2 linked regions of the Anolis sagrei genome follow. The protein of the gene in region 1 purifies or fractionates together with the protein of each later gene. This does not show direct contact. Links are inferred from orthologs where the notes say so. Each region holds a gene or a part of one and is shown on either strand. Other genes may lie near its edges.

Region 1 (10,240 bases):
GAGCTACTTGTTTGAATTCTGCAGTATCTACTTGTGAATGGCTGCAAAATGAATATGAAAACTCTCCAATATTGTGTGGCAATGCCATTATAGTCAATGGGACACACCCTATCAACTCCAAACTTAAACTACCAGCAAATAGGCGTGACTTGTGTATGTACACAGTGCAAGGAGGAAGAAATGAAGCAAATCTTCTTTTAGCTTGCTTGGTGTGTGTGTGTGCATGTGCGAAATGCATGCACACACATTCAAGGAAGAGGTCAGAGACCCCACCCCCCAAACAAAAAATTGCAGTGATCCCTTGATATCCTCTGAGAATTGGTTCCAGGACCCTGTGGATACTTAAGTCCCATTATGTTGCAAAATAGTGTCCCTTATATAAAATGGCAAAATCAAGGGGGGATTTATTTTTGGAATATTTTAAGTTGTGGATGGTTGATTCTGTGTATATGGAAGACAGGTCATACAAACAAGTGCAAGTGACTCTCTGTGTGCATCTACACTGTAGAATTGATGCAGTTCTGGCATCACTTAACTACCATGGGTCGGTAATATAGAATCATGAAAGGTGTAGTTTTACAAGGCCTTTAACAGTCTCTTCCAAAGAACACTGGCACCTCACTGAACTACATTCCCCAGGATTTCACTTTGATTTCTTCAATCATATGGAAGAAATTTACTTGTTCAACCTTATTTGTGGTCATCTCCTGTCTCTCTGCCTTTATTGTTACAGCAGTGCCCTTTGTTCCTAAACACACATTGCTGAATAGTCAGCATTGCGATCCTATTTGTCTTTTTTATTTTTTTGCTTCTCTTTTAACAGTTTGAAGTGTTATATGTGTCACCCATTTCTCACAATTAAATGAACCTACACACCCATGGTGCATTCTACAGAATTCATGCAGTTTGGCACCACTTGAACTGCTACAGCTTTATGCTAGGGAATGCTGGGAGTTGTAGTTTCGCAAAGTCTTTAGCCTTCTCTGCCAAGGAGTAGATGTGTCTCACCAAGCTCCAAATCCCAGCATTCCATAGTATAATGACAGTAAAAGTGGTGTCAAACTGTAGAATTTGTTTCAGTTTTAACTCCCATTCTTTTCCATCTCAAATGCCATGGACACCCTCCCTCCTTCTTTCCATTGTATTAAAGAAGGGGAGCTACGACCTTGATGTGTGTTTTATGAAGGAGCTCAGAGCCCCCCCTTCCCCCAAAATAATTATAATAAACCATTGGTATTCACTAAAATTTGATTCTAGGTTCCTTGTGGATACTAGAAGCCATGGGTGCAGAAGTCCCACTATAAACAATGTGTAGCAAAATTGCATCCCTTATATAAAATGATAAAATCAAGGTTTGCTTTTTGGATTTTTCTGACTGTACTCAAGTTGTGAATGGCTGTATCCGTGATTATGAAATCCATGGATACAGAAGGCAGGCAGTACAAAGGGCAGGAGAATCTGTGAGTGCATTGCATTGTGGGCATGAAAGCCTTTGGTTACAACTTTAACTGAAGCCACACTAAACTACAAATCCAGGTATGCAATAGCCATGATGTCTTGGGATTTGTAGTTTAGTGAGCCTCCAGCATTTTGTGGCAGAGAAGGCTACAAACCTTTTATTTTGAACCACCTATGTCTTTTAATTTCAGAAACGTTTTACAATAAATCCTCATTGTGTTTTTTTTATGTATTCAATATTCATTTAATGAACTTTTAACATTACAAATTTTGTGTATTCATTTGTACTTTCATTTTAGGCTAGTAGTGGGTTTTTTTGTTAATGTTTTTATTGTAAACACTGGTAGAATAAGATCTCAGTCACCATTTCAAAACAAAGGCTACAGACCTTGTAAAACTACAACTCTCATGATTCCCTATCATTGAGCCAAGGTGGTGAAAGTGGTCCCAAACTGCATTCATTCTACAGTGTTGATCAGGCATGGACAAACTTCGACCCTCCAGGTGTTTTAGACTTCAATTCCCACAATTCCTAACAGCCTACCAGCTGGGTTGCCGGGAGTTTTCCGGACTGTATGGTTGGCCGTGTTCCACAAGCATTGTCTCCTGACGTTTCGACCACATCTATGGCAGAGGTTGAGGGGTTTGTTGGAAACTAAACAAATGAGGTTTAGATATCTGTGGAATGTCAAGGGTGGGAGAAAGAATGCTTGTCTCCTTGAGGCAAGTGTGAATGTTGCAACTGAGTTGTTGTAGGTTTTTTCAGGCTATATGGCCATGTTCTAGAGGCATTCTCTCCTGACGTTTCGCCTGCATCTATAGCAAGCATCCTCAGAGGTTGTGAGGTCTGTTGGAACTAGGAAAAATTGGGTTTATATATCTAGTTCTAACAGACCTCACAACCTCTGAGGATGCTTGCCACAGATGCAGGCAAAACATCAGGAGAGAATGCCTCTAGAACAGGGGTCCTCAAACTTTTTAAACAGAGGACCAGGTCACAGTCCCTTAAACTGTTGGGGGGCTGGATTATGATTTGAAAACAACATGAATGAATTCCTATGCACACTGCACCTATCTTATTTGTAGTGCAAAAACACTTAAAACAATACAATAATTAAAATGAAGAGCAATTTCAACAAATATAAAATGTAGTATTTCAATGGGAAGTGATGCTATTGTTAATGTTTATTGTTTATTTGCTGTTATGAGTTTTATCTACTGCTTGTATTGTTGTTGTTTTTGCTTTGTTATTGCTGTGTTGTGGGCTCGACCTCATGTAAGCCGCACCAAGTCCTTTGGGGAGATGGTAGCAGGGTACAAATAAAGTGTTATTGCTATTATTATTATTATTAAGTGTGGGCCTGCTTTGGGCTGATGAGATAGGATTCTTGTTGTTGTTGTGTGCGTTCAAGTCATTTCAAACTTAGGTTGACCCTGAACAAGGGCCTTCCCGGGTAAATGACCTTGGAGGGCCGCATCCGGCCCCTGGACCTTAAGTTTGAGGACCCCTGCTCTAGAACATGGCCATATAGCCTGAAAAAACCTACAACAACCCAGTGATTCCAGCCATGAAAGCCTTCGACAATACAATGTTGCAATTGCCCATCTTGATTAGCAATTAATGGCCTTGAAGCTTCAAAGCCTGGCTGGTTGCTGCCTGAGGCAATCCCAATTGGACAGTTGGAAACGGATATGTGATTTTGATTAGGTGACTATGTTAGTATAGGAGTATGTGATTTTAATTAATGTTATTGTTAATTTTCTAAGTATTTGATTTTATGTTGTTGTACTGATATTATGGCATTGAATTGTTGCGCATGTAAGCCGCCCTGAGTCCCCCCCTTGGGGGTGAGAAGGGCGGGGTAGAAATGATGTAAATAAAATAAATAAATCCGTTGTTGTGGAAGTTGAAATCCAAAACACTTGCAGGGCCGAAGTTTGCTTATGCTCGGTGTAGATGCACCCGAAGTCTTCTCTTGCAGAGGACTGATGCCTTATGAAACTACAACTCCCAGGATTCCACAGCACTGAACCGTGGCACTTAAAGCAGCATCAAAAGGCATAAATTCTGCACCCTCATTCTCTCAGAAGGTACTGTATGCCTTTGCATAGTAATGTTCCAGTCATTACCCATTAAACTGTAGAAATAATTGGTTTTGACACTTTTATCTGCCTGGACGTACTGCTATGGGATGCTGGGATGTGTAGTTCGGTGTGGCACCATCACTCTTTGGGCAGAGGAAGGTAAAATACCTTCTGGAACTATAGCTCCCAAGCTTCCATAGCTTGGAGGATAGGGAGGGGCCTCCAAAGCGGCAATTTCGAAAAAGGAGGAGGGTGGAGATGGCGAAGACTCGGGAAGGCCTCATTGGATATTGATAGGAGAAGAAGAGTGGGGTCCCTCCGGCTTCCCGCCTCAGAGAGCCGTTATCCGCGCGGCTCTCCCTTCCCACCACCTGCGGGCTGCAGGCCCACTAGGCCGCGGCCTCGCGTAGTGCAACTGACCTCTCCTGGGGCCGGGACTGCCGCTCTTGGGGCTCTTGCGCGGGGCCATCTCGTCCTCGTCGTCGCCGCCGCCTCTCCTGTCAGGTACCGAGAAAGAGAGAGAAAGAGAGGCGCGCTCGCGACGCCGAAGGGGCGGGGCTGACACGAGGGCGAACGGCGTCGCTCCGCCCCTTTAAGCGACCCGAACGGGCGCGCTCACGGCCCTGGGACTGGCACGTCTTAGCCGACCAATCGGCAACGAGGAGGGGAAAATAGGAGACTCCGATTGGCCAATAAAAAAGGGGGCGGGGAGGAACGCCTTCCAAAGTTGTGGCTGTTTGAGGAGTGGGTTGGAACGTGGCAGAGTTGAAGGAGGGGAGGGGAGGGAGAGGGATAATGTGTGACGTGGGACACGTGTTTGAAAGAGTTTGCTCATGGCTGCTCTTCTGTTGAAATAACATAAATCCTATATAATCCCCGCCTTTCCTCTTTCTCTCCTCGGATGGAGAAGGATGGAAAAGGAGGCCCACTACCCTCCCAGACTTAACATTCAGGCAAAGGCAGTGCAGCCTCCTTTCTTGAGAGTCATTGGGTGCATTTGTACATTCGTTGCACTTTGACACCACTTTAAATTGCTATGGCTCAGTACTATGGAATCCTGGGAGTTGTAGTTTGAAGCACCAGCACTCTTGTAAAACATCAATTCCCATGATTCCACAGCATTGAGCAGTTAAAAGGACAGGGTCTTCTCAGTGGTGACCCCCCGCTTATGGAATTCGCTCCCCAGCAAGATTAGATCAGCATCCTCCCTCCTTACTTTTAGGAAAAAAAACTAAATACGTGGTTTTGGAGCCAGGCCTTTGGCTAGTGGGCACAACAGCACTTTAGGCACTGAACTCGGACAATAGGATTGTTTGAAAATTGGAAATGGCTTTATGACCTGTGATTATGTGATTTGTTCTATGTGGTTATGTAATTTTAATTAATATCACTGTTTAATTGTTATGTAATGGATTTTATATTGCTATTTTATATTGTTTTGATACTGATGGCATTGAATAAATAAAGTGGCGTCAAACTGCATTAATTCTACAGTGAAGACAAACCCATATAGCCCTCTTATTTATTTATTTATATCCCACTTTATCTCTCCCATACGGAGACTCAAAATGGTTCACAATCAAAAATATTACAACTTCAAATATACAATATTTATTTATTTATTTATTTAAAACTTTTATGTCCCGATCTTCTCTACCTCCGTAGAGGGACTCAGACCGGCTAACAGCAAGAATTCAATGCTAAACAGTAAAAATCTAAAACAACATATAATAACAGTAAATTAATAATACATATAAACTAAATACCCAAAAGCCATTCGCCAAGATAAAAACATGTCTAACTCAGTCCGTATATTCAGTCCATGTATTGTAGTCAATACTTTGGCCGATTATCAGTCTCACCCATCATTCTGCAAAGGGCTCGTTTCACAGCCAGGTTTTCCCTAGCTTCCTAAAGGTCAGGAGGGAGGGGGCAGATTTAATTTATCAATAATAAATCAGTATATCATATATTATTACAAATCATCAGTAGTAATTATATCTAATATATTAGCATTGCTATATTACAATATTATATATTATATTGTATTATTCGTATTGTCTTACATTATAATATTATGATCAATATTATATGTATACAGTATAAAAGGTAAAGGTTTACCCTTAACATTAAGTCCAGTCGTGTCCAACTCTGGAGAGTGGCGCTTATTTCTATTTCTAAGCCTAAGAGCCAGCATTGTCCATAGACACCTCCAAGGTCATGTGGCTGTCATGACTGCATGGAGCACTGTTACCTTCCTGCTGAAGTAGTACCTATTTATTTATTTATTTTATTTTGCGCATTTCTACCCCGCCCTTCTCAACCCCCAAGGGGGGACTCAGGGTGGCTTACAAGAGGCAAACAATAAGATAAAACATATAAACAGCAATTATAAACAATTAAAACAATCAATTATACATCATAATCAATAAAACCAATCTAATACTCAACGTTCGCCAGCTCAGCGTCTGTAAATTCATTCCACATTGTCAAATCCTATCAATTCTAGTCGTCATTGTCCTTTTGATCTACTCACATTTGCATGTTTTTGAACTGCTAGGTTGGCAGAAGCTAGGGTTGACAGTGGAAGCGCATGCCGTTCCCCGAATTTAAACCCGTGACCTTTCGGTCAACAAGTTTAGCAGTTCAGCTTCTGCCAACCTAGCAGTTTGAAAACATTCAAATGTGAGTAGATCAATAGGTACCGCTTCAGCAGGAAGGTAATGACACTCCATGCAGTCATGCTGGCCACATGACCTAGGAGGTGTCTACGGATGTCAGCAATGTCAGCTGTTCGGCTTAAAAATGGAGGTGAGCATCACCCCCCAGAGTCGGGCACGACTAGACTTAATGTCAAGGGGAAACCTTTACCTTTTTGAGCGAATGGTGGGGAAAACAATACACTTCAGGGGAGCTCCATTAATGATTTCTGCATTTGAAAGTGAGAATAAGGATCTGATAAATAAAAATCTTATACTGCTTCTGTTATGTGCCACAAGACTCGAAAATAGTGAAAACCTGGAAAAGGTTAGAGAATCTGACAATAAAGAACTGCTTAAACAAGATATGTGCAATAGATCAATTTATTAGCTTAATTCATAAAATGAATTGTGAATTTAAACCACCAAACATCCAAAAAAGATTGTGCTTGAGCAATTAATGACCAAATTACAATAATTATATTTAACAGATACAATTAGAGTAATGTAGAAGTAATAGAATTGACAGTGATGTATTTTTATAATGATATAAGTAATGGGAGGTTGGAGGTTATCGATCTGGAAATAGAAGATGTGATAAGACAATTGTATCATGGGTTGTTGTGAGTTTTTCAGGCTGTATGGCCATGTTCCAGTAGCATTCTCTCCTGATGTTTCATCTGCATCTGTGGCAAGAATCCTCAGAGGTTTGTCCAGTAATTCTGGTCATGAAGGCCTTCAACAACAAATTGTATCATGTTTTAAGTGTTTTGGAATTTTATATTTAATAAAATTATTTCCAAAATTTTAAAAAAGCAAAATACCCAATCTGCTTCTTCTACAGCCATCATTGTGTCTTTTTGTAGATTCAGAGATTTGATTTAAAATGTACTCTCTAGGAATCTCAAAATCCTGGAGGACCTATCTTTAGGGATGCACCTACATCATAGAATTAATGTTGTTTGACATAACTAACTACCATGGCTCAGTGTGATAGGATCATAGGAATCACAGCCTTCTGCCAAAAAGTGGCAGTGTCTTGGCAAACAGCAACACCCATGATGCCATGGCATTGGGCCACAGAAGTTAACATAATATCAAACTGCATCAAAGCTACAATACAGATGCACTCTTAAGACTTTCTACAACCTCCAATGTGTATGTATGTTTGGCTTCCAGCAGAAGTTAATCATAGAGTTCTCCTAGATATAGAATTCTCAGAGGTGAGACAATTAGCCATTTATTTATTCATAGGGGTTTATTCACTTTGATGTGAGTCCTGTGCCTCTATGTGAGGAATGTAAATCTTTGCTAAAGGCTCCAGAGCCGCTTTGATATAGGAGGCTAAGTAGAGTCAGCCCTGGTTCGTACTTGGATGGGAGACTGATATCAAATAAGGCCGTCTTTCAGAGAAAATACTCAAAGGCAAACCCATCTGTGAGAATTCCAGGCTTAAGAAAACCTTATAAAATTAATGGGCCACCATAAGTCGACAGACATATTAAAGGCATCGTCCACACAAGAGTCTGAGATGATATGGAAATACATAACCATAAATATCGACAATATCTATTAAGTTGTAAAATAAGACACCTTATTTCTTTCTTCTCACATTTTCTGCAAAATCCCTAACAGTGCTAACTCTATAAAAGTTGTCTCACAAATGTTGCAACTTGATGAGCAAGATGGGAACAATATTATCTGTTATTCCTAAATCCTTGTACTTTGAACCTAACCGTTTCTTCTCAGAGGCAAGTCTGACTAAACTCAATGGTGATTACTCTTCAGTTTGCAGAAGATTACAGCCATGTTTGTTAAACTGAGTGTCTTTCCAGATCAAATTACCCCACCCTGCTTTTTTAACAGACGGATAATAGAGTAATGGCTTTTCAAACCAATCGGTACCATGGAGCACCAACTGTTTTTCACTGAAGCATGACGCTCACTGGGTGGCCTTGGGCCAGCCACTGTGCCTCAACCTGAGATAGCTCACAAACATCTAAGGCATCTTGAGGTCATCTGAGGATTGGCACCAAAGAAATATAATAAAGAAATAAATATATGCCATCTTTTTAAAGAAGGGTTAGGATAGTGGAAACAGTTGAGAAATACTTCCTTTTGTGAGAAAGAAAAAGGATTATGTTGTCAGGTTTAAAATGAGTGTTACCTTCTGTAAATAAAGGACAGAGTTTGATGTCATCTTAACTGCCATGGATTGATGCTATGAAATCATGGGAGCTGTAGTTTTACAAGGTCTGGAGGCTCCTCTGCCTCTACAATTCCCATGATTTTACAGCATCAGGTTATGGCAAAGTGGTGTTAAACCGCATTAATTCTGCAGTGTAGATGCCCCCTAATTCAACTATTTCCACTATCCTAACTCTTCTTTAATTAAACTCTATCATTGAATTATATGAACAATATTATGTAAGTAGGTTCATGAATTGATTGCATACATAGCAGTAGTAGTCCTAGATAGTGTTTGTGAGTCATTAAGATTGTAGTTGATTAAGATTGCAATCATTACATGCTCTAAAGCTTTCCCACCAACAATGAGAGGTGTGTAGCCTTGTTTACTGAGGTTGCTACATGACCTATAAAAGCAATTCATCTGTTTAATCTGTATATCATGCTTGTCAAGGCACACCAAATTTAAGCAGATTGCCCAATATGATTTGTTGTAGATGTGTGCACTCAAGGCCAGGCTTGTTTCAGATCCCACTTTAGCACTTTGATTCAGCTTGGGGCTGTACAGCGTAACTTTGTCTTTTTGGAAGGAAAGAAATATTTCATAGAATCATAGAGTTTGAAGACTGTAATGTATTTTTTATTTTTGGGCTTTTTAAGTCTCTTCCATTGCGTTTTTCAGTGTTTTTATGAGTGATGGTCACTTGTTGGCCTGATAAGTGTATTGTGTCCAAATTTGGTTTCAATTTGCTCAGTGTTTTTTGAGTTATGTTAATCTCACAAATGAACATTATATTTTTATTTATATAGATTATTAACTTTGATAAATCTACACATATAAATAGCAGTTCACTTTGATAAGCATTAATTTTTCTCCTCCAATTACACGTTTATTATTCATATTTCAATGTAAAGCTTAACTAGGATTCATAGCAAACTCAACAGGAATAACCTGTGAAAATGGGTGAAATGGTTTTCCATCTTCAACTCCCCTTAAAATGGACTATCCTTCTCTGTCTAAGCCTCCTTTTGGAGTCCGCCCAGAAAATGGAACAGTACATTTTAATGTTACACATTGAATTGTGGCCAGTTCCATTTAGTAATATAAATCTGTGAATTATCCTCTCCTGATTTTACTTTAGCTACTATCATATTGCCAAATTATAAAATGAATCTAATGGGTACTGATTGACACACCATCTCCCCCCTTGAATTTACTTTGGGACAAAAGGAGGTGATCCACCATTTCCATATAATTGCTGAATGATTCTCACTGTTGCACTCCAGGCCAGGAAGAAGCCCTCTGACTTAAAAACACCACACGGCTGAGGGAAAATGCAAGCAGTTTATTGTAGGTAATTTTTTTTAAAAAACATTAGCAATAAAAACACTCCAAAGAAATAGGTAAATCCAAGTAGGTAGAAAGATAAACAGGAACAAATAATCCAGTAAATAAATCCATTAAAGTACATGAAAATCCACACAGAAACTTCCAAGGTAAAACTCCAAATCATGAAATCAAACAAGGTATAACTTGACTCTTTCCAAGGTAACACTGCAATGTTCACCACTACGTCTAGATCCAGTTCCAACATTGCTTTGGCGGATCTCAGATTCTGTACTTGGCACTTTTATCTCCTAATCTACTCTAAATCCCCAATAGAAACTTGTTTCTATTCAGCCTAGACTCTGTTATCAATTTTTCTCTCAACCTGGCAGAGTGCCAAAGAGATTGTTGAACTATTCTATTCTTTCTGAAAACATGCCTTCTATCTTCTGGCTCATTAATTTCTGCAGCGGGGCCAGGTGCC
Region 2 (10,358 bases), on another chromosome or scaffold:
AAATATCAACAGCTTCTAATTAATCAGCACAACAAAAGGAAAGGGAGCCAACAAGACAAATAGAAAGATCCCTTACTCTGATGGCAGCTTGCTTACACTGTTTTTCATCCAAGCAATCTCCAGCAACCTTTGCTAGCATAGGATCTAAGGGGTTGTCTTTCAGATCCAGCCACTTCAGATTCTGAAGAAGGAAAATACAGACAAAATTAGCTCAAGTCAGCTCCAAGGATTTTCAGTTTCCCTACTTGGAAGCATTTGACTTGACATTAGAATTCCTAGAAGGCCCATGATGCTGAGTACACATGAGCATTACATAGAGCTACACTGGAGATGTACTCATATTTCCAAAACAATGCCTGCAGTTCATAACAAACTACTGCTTTTGTAATTTAGTCGTTTCAGCCACGCACTTTTAAAATGTCAACATCCATATTACTATTTGGGAGACTTCAACACAAGGGCAAAATGGTAAGTTAGCTGTACTTTTAGTAGGTACAGCTAATGGGATTTTATAAAGGAAGTAGCATTTAAAACAGGTGGGAAAATTCTTGAGCTGCAGGCCATATTTCTGTGGCATACAAAGGGAGAGGGGGTCATTCGGAATCATAGAAAATGTAGGGAAATAAGTACAGTTGAGGAATCAATTTTCTGCACAGTATCTTTTCTGTTAGTGGAAGAAAGGCAATTTTTTTTCAATTTTAGCTCCCTTGCAGTTGAGAAATAAATTTTACTAAAAGAAAATATTCTGCTCCAAACCCATGGTCTTACTTCAGTTAAGAATTAGACATGGAAAGGATTACCTTGAGTTGGGCAAAACTGACTGGCAAAGTTACTAATCGATTGTTCAGCAGATCCAGATGTTGCAAGTTGACCAAGCGACCAAAGTCTGAAGGCAGTTGCTGAAGCTGATTTTTACTTAAATCCAGTTTCACTAGATGGGTCAAACTGCAGAAATCAGACTAAAAAAAGAACAAAACAAAAAGTCCAACCCATTATCTTAACAAAAGTTGATGCAAGCAGCTTTGAACTCTATACATGCCTACCTGAAAGTAAACCCTACTAAAATCAGTAAGAGATGCTTTTCAGATAAGTACAAAGAGCATGGTGCTGTTGAAGAACTAAGCACTAGTAAGATAATAGTAAGATGATGCACATAGCCTTTCTGAAGGAATTTGAGAAATTATGAACATACGTCAACTCATAGTAAACCTGTAAATAGAGAAACAGATCTAAAAACATATAGTAAGAGAAAAGTCATAGCTATAATAATCACATTAATCCTATGGTTCCTTGAGAGAATCTGTGTTCCCTAAATGATTTTTTCCTTACATATCAATAGTGGAAGACTTAGAACCTAAAGCTACCATTCACTGATATATTTATTAATCCAGTTTGAAAGTATCTGTCATTATGGCATATCTTTCTTCTCTGAAATATCAGGTGCATTTCTGTCTCTAATTATGAGTCAGTATTTGATGCTGGTCTTTTAAGGACTGTGGCATTTGAGTAAGGCAGTGCATCTACTCCAAAGTTTTATTCTGAACTTTACATTAGCAATCCGTAGTGCTGATTCTTGTCCCTAAAACCGGCTCAACGTCTTCTATTTGAAGGTTCAGACTAAAACATGGAGTGAAATCTCCATCCTACTGACATGGTAAACACCAGCAATCACTGCCCAGGGAATTATCTCTACCATCATTATTACAGTTACTGCACCTATGATCACATCTACATGAGTCATCGCTACAAAGCAAAAAAGTTGCAACTTACAGGTAATGATGTAAGATTGTTACAAGACAAATCCAAAATAGTTGCCTTTGGAAGTGCTGCCTGCAAAGAAACAAACAAAATTAACAGTGCAATCCTATATATGCCTACTTAAACATTAGTTACCTTGTGTCCTCTGGGGCTTATCCCTTACTACATGTAATTCAGATTGCAAACCAGTGATATCAATCGTATATCATTCATTTCAGTGAAAATAATTCATTTCCTAAAATCTATATATTACAGTCATCCTTCCAGATTTGTAGGCTTAACTGTTGTGGATCTGACCACAGATTTATTTGATAAGTTCTCTCTAGGAATGTCTAGGAGTGTAAAATAAACTTCTGATGGAAGCTAATCATAGAGTCATGCAGAAAGATCTCAAGAGGTATTATTTCAGGTAAAATAATTTCAGGTAAAATAGTTTCCTACTTTCACATGATTCTGAGCTCCTAACGTCTGTAAAAGTTGAGGACCTACTGTATTCTTCAGAATTGTACCTTTCTCAAAACAGAGACAATTTATCATATATTCCAATGTACAAGTTGACCTCATGTTGAGTGCAAGTTTGAGGATGAAAATTATGCATTTTGTATGAGCTGTGAATAACTTGATAGCCATTCCACAGAGAGAAGAAAGCGGCAGTACCATCACAGGGAGCCAGATGCCACTGCCCACTGCTGCCACCATTTCCCAAGGATTCAAAAGGCAAAAAGTGGTGCCAAGGTTAAAAGAGCAGAGAGGGTTGAATACTTCTTTTAGGTTCTCCATGAACAGACTAAACTCTTGTCTCCTGCCACTCTGTGGATAGTTTTTATTTTATAAGCATTAAGGCACAGTACTTACAGGGACCCATGTGTAAGTTGACTTAGGCTTCTGGGGTCAATATTTTGGCTAAAATTTCTAGATTTATACCTTCAGAATGTAATCAATGTATATTTCAAAAACTGGTTCAAGCCTCTCATGAGGAAGGGCCAACTGACTTCCTGCTACATATCATACATAGTTCACAAGCAAATACAATCATATGGCTTTTACATTGTTTGTAGTATTTGATAGCCAAAATGAAAACATATACTAACCAGCTCTTTAACTGGCACTTCATTCAGGTCACACAAACTGAGGTCCAATTCATTGCCCTCTAGTTTGTCCTTTAGGTTCACCCCTTTTCCTCCGGATCTGGACATGGTCTTTAATAAACCAAAACCAGTCTTCCAACTAGCTTGGTGAATGAATATGCTTGAGTTCCTATGGAGAAAAATGATGAATGAACACTTATGAGAAAGCAAGCACCACTAAACGCAGTAGGATTTACTTCCAAAGAGCCACAATGTCCAGGATGAGTCTAGAGCAATGCTTCTTAAACTGTGGGTCACGACCCCAAATTGAGTCCCTTTAGCTCAATATTTGGGTCCCCTAACAGTATATATAAACCTCACTTGCCACGTTTCCAACAGACCTCACAACCCCTGAGGATACCTGCCACAGATGTGGGCAAACATCAGGAGAGAATGCCTCTGGAACATGGCCTGGAACAACCCAAAAAATTCACAGCAACCAGGTGATTCTGGCCATAAAAGCCTTCGACAACACATACTAGTTAAAATGCAGGTTAAAATTAACAAGCTAATAATTACTAGGTAGGCCTGCCAAAAGAGGTGGGTCTTCTGTTTTTGAAATTCTGATCTAGCTGTAGGATCTGTAGGAATGCCCTTGGTGAGTAGGTGGCTTCCTCCTTTGTGGCCACCGTCCTCAAGCACAGCGGCATCCTTTCCCACCACGAAGGGGAGACAAGCAATGGGGGGAAGGAGCAGCGGGTGTACTCAGAAACGCCATTGGGAGCCAATGCAGCCCCGAAAAATCAGCCCAAAAGCTCCTGCCGACATTGGCCTGTCCTGGACTTTTCAAATTCTCGGCCACTCGAACTTGGGCATCTGGGAAGCTGGAAAGGCACCAAGGGGGCGGAGGGGTCGCCAACTGAGAAATCCACAAGCCTTTCCCTGCCAAGGAGGGGAAGCTGCGGCCTCCAGGAGTCACTAGGAGACTCTCACCTCTGGGCAGGTGGCGCGGGTCCCCCAAGCCAACTCCTGCCCCTTTGCAGGAGCCTGACACCCACAAGGCCAGCTGGGACATTTCTTGCTGTCACTGCAGCGCCACGTCAGTTAACTTTGCCCTCGAGGCTGAGTCTACACTTGGGCCCTCCCTCCAGGTGTTTTGGACTTCAACTCCCACAGTTCCTAACAGCCTCAGGCCTCTTCCTTTTCCCCGAGGAAAAGGGGAACTGTGGGAGTTGAAGTCCAAAACACCTGGAGGGCCTAAGTTTGCTCATGCCTGGTGTAGAAGCTCGCCGCTCGCTCTCTCTCTCACACACACACTCACCTCCCTCGCGCCCTGCCAATGCCAGCCACTTCCGCCTCTTCCTCCCCTTCCTCCGCTCCGAGGGGAACAAGAGAGAGGGAAGGAGAGAGCGCCTCCCAGAAATCGAGGAAGGAATCCCGCAGCGCCCCCTGGAGTTGCGAATAGCTCAAGCTCCTTCCACACAGCTGTATAAAATCCACATTGAGCTGGATGGTCTGTCAGTGCGGGGTGGGAGCAGGAGGGCTGGGTCCGGAGGCACCGAACGTTACGGAGAGGCCGCATCGCTCCTTTGGGAGCGCAGTTTGCGCAAGAGAGACTTCGCTCATGTAAGCCAGGCCGGAGACAGAGAACAGAGAAGGGATGGAAGAGTTCTTTCATGGTGAAACCCTTACCCTTACCCTGAACCGGAAGCCTAACCCTAACCCAAACCCTAAACCCTAAACCTTGCCCTTATCCTTACTTTAACCCTAACCCATACTCTAACCGTAATCCCTAATCATATAACCCAAACCCTAAACCTTACCCTAACCCTAAACCATACCCTAACTGTAACCCCTAACCCTTACCCTAGCCATAACCCTAACCCTTAACCTAAACCATACTCAAACCGTAACCCCTTACCCTAACCATAACCCAAATCCAAACCCTAAACCATAACCTAACCATAACCCAAATCCTAAACCTTACTCTAACCTAAACTCTAACACTTACGCTAACCCAAACCCTAAACCTTACCCTAACCCTAAACTATACCCTAACCATAACCCCTAACCCTTACCCTAACCATAACCCTAACCCTTAACCTAAACCATACCCCAACCGTAACCCTTACCCTAACCATAACCAAAACCCAAACACTAAACCTTACCTTAACCTTAACCCTTACCTTAACCCTAAACCAAACCCTAATCCTAATCATAAGCCAAACCCTAAACATTACTCTAACCCTAACTCTTACGCTAACCCAAGCGAACCATACCCTAACCCTAACCCCTTACCCTAACCCAAACCCCTAACCATAACCCTAATCATAACCCTAACCATAACCCAAACCCTAAACCTTATCCTAACCCTAAACCGTACCCTAACCATAACCCTTACCCTAACCCAAACCTAAACCCTAAACCCCTAACCATAACCCTAACCCTAAACCGTACCCTAACCCCTAACCCTTACCCCAACCCTAACCCAAACCTAAACTCCTAACCATAACCATAACCCAAACCCTAAACCTTACCCTAACCCTAAACCGTACCCTAACCATAACCCCTAACCCTTACCCTAACCCAAACCTAAACTCTAAACCCCTAACCATAACCCAAACCCTAAACCTTACCCTAACCCTAAACCGTACCCTAACCATAACCCCTAGCCCTTACCCTAACCCAAACCTAAACCCTAAACCCCTAACCATAACCCTAACCATAACCCTAACCCTTACCCTAACCCTAACCCAAACCTAAACCCCTAACCATAATCCAAACCCTAAACTTTACCCTAACCCTAAACCATACCCTAACCATAACCCCTAACCCTTACCCTAACCCAAACCTAAACCCTAAACCCCTAACCATAACCATAACCCAAACCCTAAACCTTACCCTAACCCTAAACTGTACCCTAACCATAACCCCTAACCCTTACCCTAACCATAACCCTAACCCAAACCTTGCCCTAACCCTTACCCTAAGTGTCTCCTCCTTTCTATCCTTCCTTCACTCTCCCCGCTCTCACTCCAACCTCTCTTCTCCATTAAGCTCGGAGCTTCCAGACCCAGCTATCATACTATCACCCAGCGTGGGCTCACATAATCCAGTTCAACGCAGATATTGTGGATTACACACCTTGATATTCTGAGTTAGATGGCTGTGTGGAAGGGCCCTATGTGTCATCTATACTGGTCCATGGAGAGTTTCCAGGAAATAAATAAATAATTATAGCCAATGGACAAAAACATGGTGCTGGCCTCTGGGGGGCGAAATGGCTTTTCTCCTCACAGTTGCTAGTTTCTCCACAACAGATAGCCCAGGGGCCCATCCACACAGCCATAAAACCCAGAATATCAAGGCAGATAATCCACAGTATCTGCTTTGAACTGGGTTATCGGAGTCCACACAGCCATATAACCCAGAATATCAAGGCAGAAAATCCCACAATATGAGGTATCTGCTTTGAATTGGGTTATCTGAGTCCACAATGCCATATATTCCAGTTCAAAGCAGATAATGGGGGATTTTATACAGCGGTGTGGAAGGGCCCTAAGATAGAGCATCTTAAACTTTGTCCACTGAGACCCCATCAACACTGCCATATAACCAGGGCCCTTCCACACAGCCCTATATCCCAGAATATCAAGGCAGAAAATCCCACAATATCTGCTTTGAGCTACATTATCTGAGTCCACACTCAGACAATGTGGGGTTTTCTGCCTTGATATTCCGTGTGGAAGGACCCCCAGTTACTGAATCCAGATTATCATCTTTGAACTGGATTATTTGATAGTGTAGACTCCTATAATCCAGTTCCGATCAGATAATCAGGATTCAGAAACTGGGTTATACAGCAGTGTAGATCCAGCTACACAACCCCTTTCGGCCCAATACAATTTTTACATGATCTCAGCTATGTAAGGAATAGGTGTAAAATAAAGTATTTCATTATAAATTGGGATTTGCAAAGCTTGCTTAACAAGCCAATTTCCCCTTTTCATGAAACTCAAGACTCACCTGCAAAGTCCACTGTAAACACTGTGCTGTAGATTTCTGTAAATGTCTAAAACCGCCACTAGGTGACATTCAGAAACCTTTTACTGTTGGACCATCCTCCAAAAAATCGGGTGTCCTAACAAATTTGTGAACATCCTGCGGCTCCTCCATGACGACATGATGGCAACAGTCTCGGACAGCCATGGCTCCCAAAGTGACCCATTTAAGATGGAATCAGGTGTCAAACAGGGATGTGTTATTGTCCCAACTTTATTTTCCATCTTCATCGCTATGATACTTCACCTTGTTGATGGGAAGCTTACCACAAGAGTGGAAATCATCTATCAGACAGATGGCAAGATTCAGCAGACTGAAAGCCAAAATCAAGGTTACAATGACATCTATTATAGAACTCCAGTATGCTGATGACAACATCATCTGTGCGCATTCAGAAGAAAATCTACAAGCCACTCTAAACACCTTCGCAGAAGCATACAAGAAGCTTGGCCTGTCATTAAACATTGAGAAAACCAAAGTGCTCTTCCAGCAGTCACCAGGCAATCCCTCTGCAATGCCAGAAATACAGCTTAATGGTGTAACATTAGAAAATGTTGACCATTTCCGCAAGCTTGGCAGCCACCTCTCCACAAAAGTCAACATTGACACCGAAATACAACACCGTCTGAGCTCTGCAAGTGCAGCATTTTTCCGAATGAAGCAGAGAGTGTTTGAGGGATACCAAGGTGCTTGCTTATAAAGCTATTGTCCTCCCAACCCTGCTATATGCCTGTGAAACGTGGACTGTCTACAGACGTCACATGCAACTCCTGGAACGATTCCATCAGCGCTGCCCCTGGAAAATCCTGCAAATCTCTTGGGAAGACAAGCGGACAAATGTCAGCATGCTGGAAGAAGCAAAGACCATCAGCATTGAAGCAATGGTCCTCTGCTATCAACTCCGCTGGACTGGCCACGTTGTCCAGATGCCCGACCACCGTTTCCCAAAGCAGTTGCTCTACTCTGAAATTAAGAACGGAAAACGGAATGTTGGAGGGCAGGAAAAGAGATTTAAAGATGGGCTCTGGCATAGGCACTAAGAATTGGGAAACCCTGGCCCTTGAGTACTCCAGTTGGAGATCAGCTGTGACCAGCAGTGCTGTATAATTTGAAGAGGCATGAATGGAGGATGAAAGAGAGAAACATGCCAAGAGGAAGGCTCGTCAAGCCAACCCCGACCGGGACCGCCTTCCACCTGGAATCCGATGCCCTCACTGTGGGAGAAGATGCAGGTCAAGAATAGGGCTCCACAGTCACCTACGGACCCACCGCTAGGACACCAACCTTGGAGGACCATCATCCTCGGACTATGAGGGATTGCCTAAGTACAGTTGCCAAATTTTCGTGACCCCAACACTGAGCAAAGGGGACCCCATTTAAGGTTGGGACCCACCTTGTAAGAAGCAGTACTGTGGGCTGCATTTCAGATTAATTCATTAGGCTGCTGTACTATACATTTTAGTTGAGTTATGGGGCTAAAGTAGTTTGTGATAAGAGATTATAACAGAAGCTTGGCTCAATTATAGGGTCTCTGGAGATATTTTGCTATTACAAAATGGCAATACACATTTTAGATCTTGATGCGTATTTTGAATTGTGCCTATAACCACACCAGTAGTCAGTGGAGCTGTTGTAAAAAGATAGCTGCTGAAATGTTAGGGTGACACTTAACCTATATGACGTCAATATATCAGACATGAAGCCAAATTCAGTTTGGTAATCACAAGGGTGGAGATTATCAGACATCAAATGAGATTCAGATTTACAATCACAGGGGTGAAGAAAGCTGTGTTTATGGCCTGCTCACAGCCTGTTGGGGCTTGTTTTGCAGCCCCTGAAGACCCCAATGTATAGCCTGAGGAGTTTAACCTTAGGAGTCCCCTAGGAGTTCCCCTGTGACACCTCTCAGAATATAAATGCATAAAAGTTCTAGTTGTAAAAGTGACAATTGCCTCTATATAACAATGCAGGGCAAAGTGAGCAAACTGTGGCTGAAAATTGGACCTCAGAAGCATGATGTCTGCGTGATTAGCATGTATCTTGCCAAATTATTTTTAAACTAGCCATCCCCTGCCACGCATTGCTGTGGCCCAGTCTGGTGATCTGGAAAATAAAGTAATGAGCAAGTGTTGGTTTTTAATATATGTAATTTCTTGATGTTTGTGGGTAAACAATATTTCTTGCTGTTTCTTTGTCAGTGTTGACGTGGAAATTGTCTGGTTTGCCTACTCTGGAACATGCTAGGATATAATTGTCCTTTTTTAGGGGTCCCTTTCAAATCTATGATACTATATCTCAATGTGTGTGTGAATCATATATATCTAATCTATATCTGTGGCTGGATGGCTCTTTGTCAGGAGGGCTTTGATTACATTGTCTTGCCCTGGCGAAGGGAGCTGGACTGGATGGCCTTAAGTATTTTCTTTTGCTCATGGGGTTCTGTGTGGAAGTTTGCCCCAATGCTGTCGTTGGTGGGTTCAGAATGCTCTTTGATTGTAGGTGACCTATAAATCCCAGTAACTACAACTCCCAAATATCAAGGTCTATTTCCCCCAAACTCCATCTGTGTTCATATTTGGGCATATGGAATATTTGTTCCAAGTTTGGTCCAGATCCATCATTGTTTGAGTCCACAGTGCTCTCTGGATGTAGGTGAACTACAACTCCCAAACTCAAAGTCAATGCTCACCAAACCCTTCTAGTTTTTTTCTGTTGGTCATGGGAGTCCTGTGTGCTACACTTGATTGATTCCATCATTGGTAAAGTTCAGAATGCCCTTTGATTGTAGGTTAACTATAAATCCCAGCAACTACAACTCTCAAATGACAAAAAAAAAAATTGAGTGATGGTCATTCCTTGGGTTAGTAGGTGTCTTGTGGCCAAATTTGGCAGCAATTAGTCCAGTGGTTTTTCAGTTCTGTTAATCCCACAAACGAACATTATATTTTTATTTATATAGATTGCCACCACTGTGAATTTCCACTTAACATAACTGAGCAAGTCTTTTAGTCCCGGATCCTCTTTTAGTTTAAGTAATAAAGGAAATTCTGAGTAATGTAACAATTCAGATCTGGGCAACTGAGGTCAAGTAGTAGGGCATTTTAAAAAGAATTGTTACTGGGTGTCCATTCTCCCATTCAAAGGTTCATGACTAGAAAACTGTCCACTCCATAAAATCCTGATCTTCAGATTGCATTGATTTTTTAAAAACCAATATGGGGATGTAAATACGTGTACACACATCAAGATTTTAACATTTTTATTGTCCTACTCACCAGATTAAAAGGTAAAGGTTTTCCCTGACATTAAGTCTAGTCAAGTCTGATTCTGGGGGATGGTGCTCATCTCAATTACTAAGCCAAAGAGCCGGTGTTGTCCATAGACACCTCCTAGGTCATGTGTCCCGCATGACTGCTTGAAGTGCTATTACCTTCCTGCAGAAGTTCCTATTGATCTACTCACATTCACATG

Evidence for each region.
Region 2: the proteins of ASPH (region 1) and LRRC59 purify together in Homo sapiens (co-immunoprecipitation; 3 studies listed by BioGRID and IntAct, with this or other methods). This does not show direct contact. The link is inferred for Anolis sagrei from reciprocal best matches to the Homo sapiens genes ASPH and LRRC59.

Annotation. Positions count from the first base shown.
Region 1 is NC_090024.1:47,302,489-47,312,728, reverse strand, and holds the start of ASPH (aspartyl/asparaginyl beta-hydroxylase), read right to left. Parts: upstream 4,148-10,240; 5' UTR 4,013-4,147; coding exon 3,964-4,012; intron 1-3,963.
Region 2 is NC_090022.1:115,864,467-115,874,824, reverse strand, and holds the start of LRRC59 (leucine-rich repeat-containing protein 59), read right to left. Parts: upstream 4,209-10,358; 5' UTR 4,147-4,208; intron 4,108-4,146; exon of another isoform or gene 3,819-4,107; intron 3,470-3,818; exon of another isoform or gene 3,405-3,469; intron 3,016-3,404; 5' UTR 2,955-3,015; coding exon 2,850-2,954; intron 1,831-2,849; coding exon 1,771-1,830; intron 960-1,770; coding exon 801-959; intron 182-800; coding exon 77-181; intron 1-76.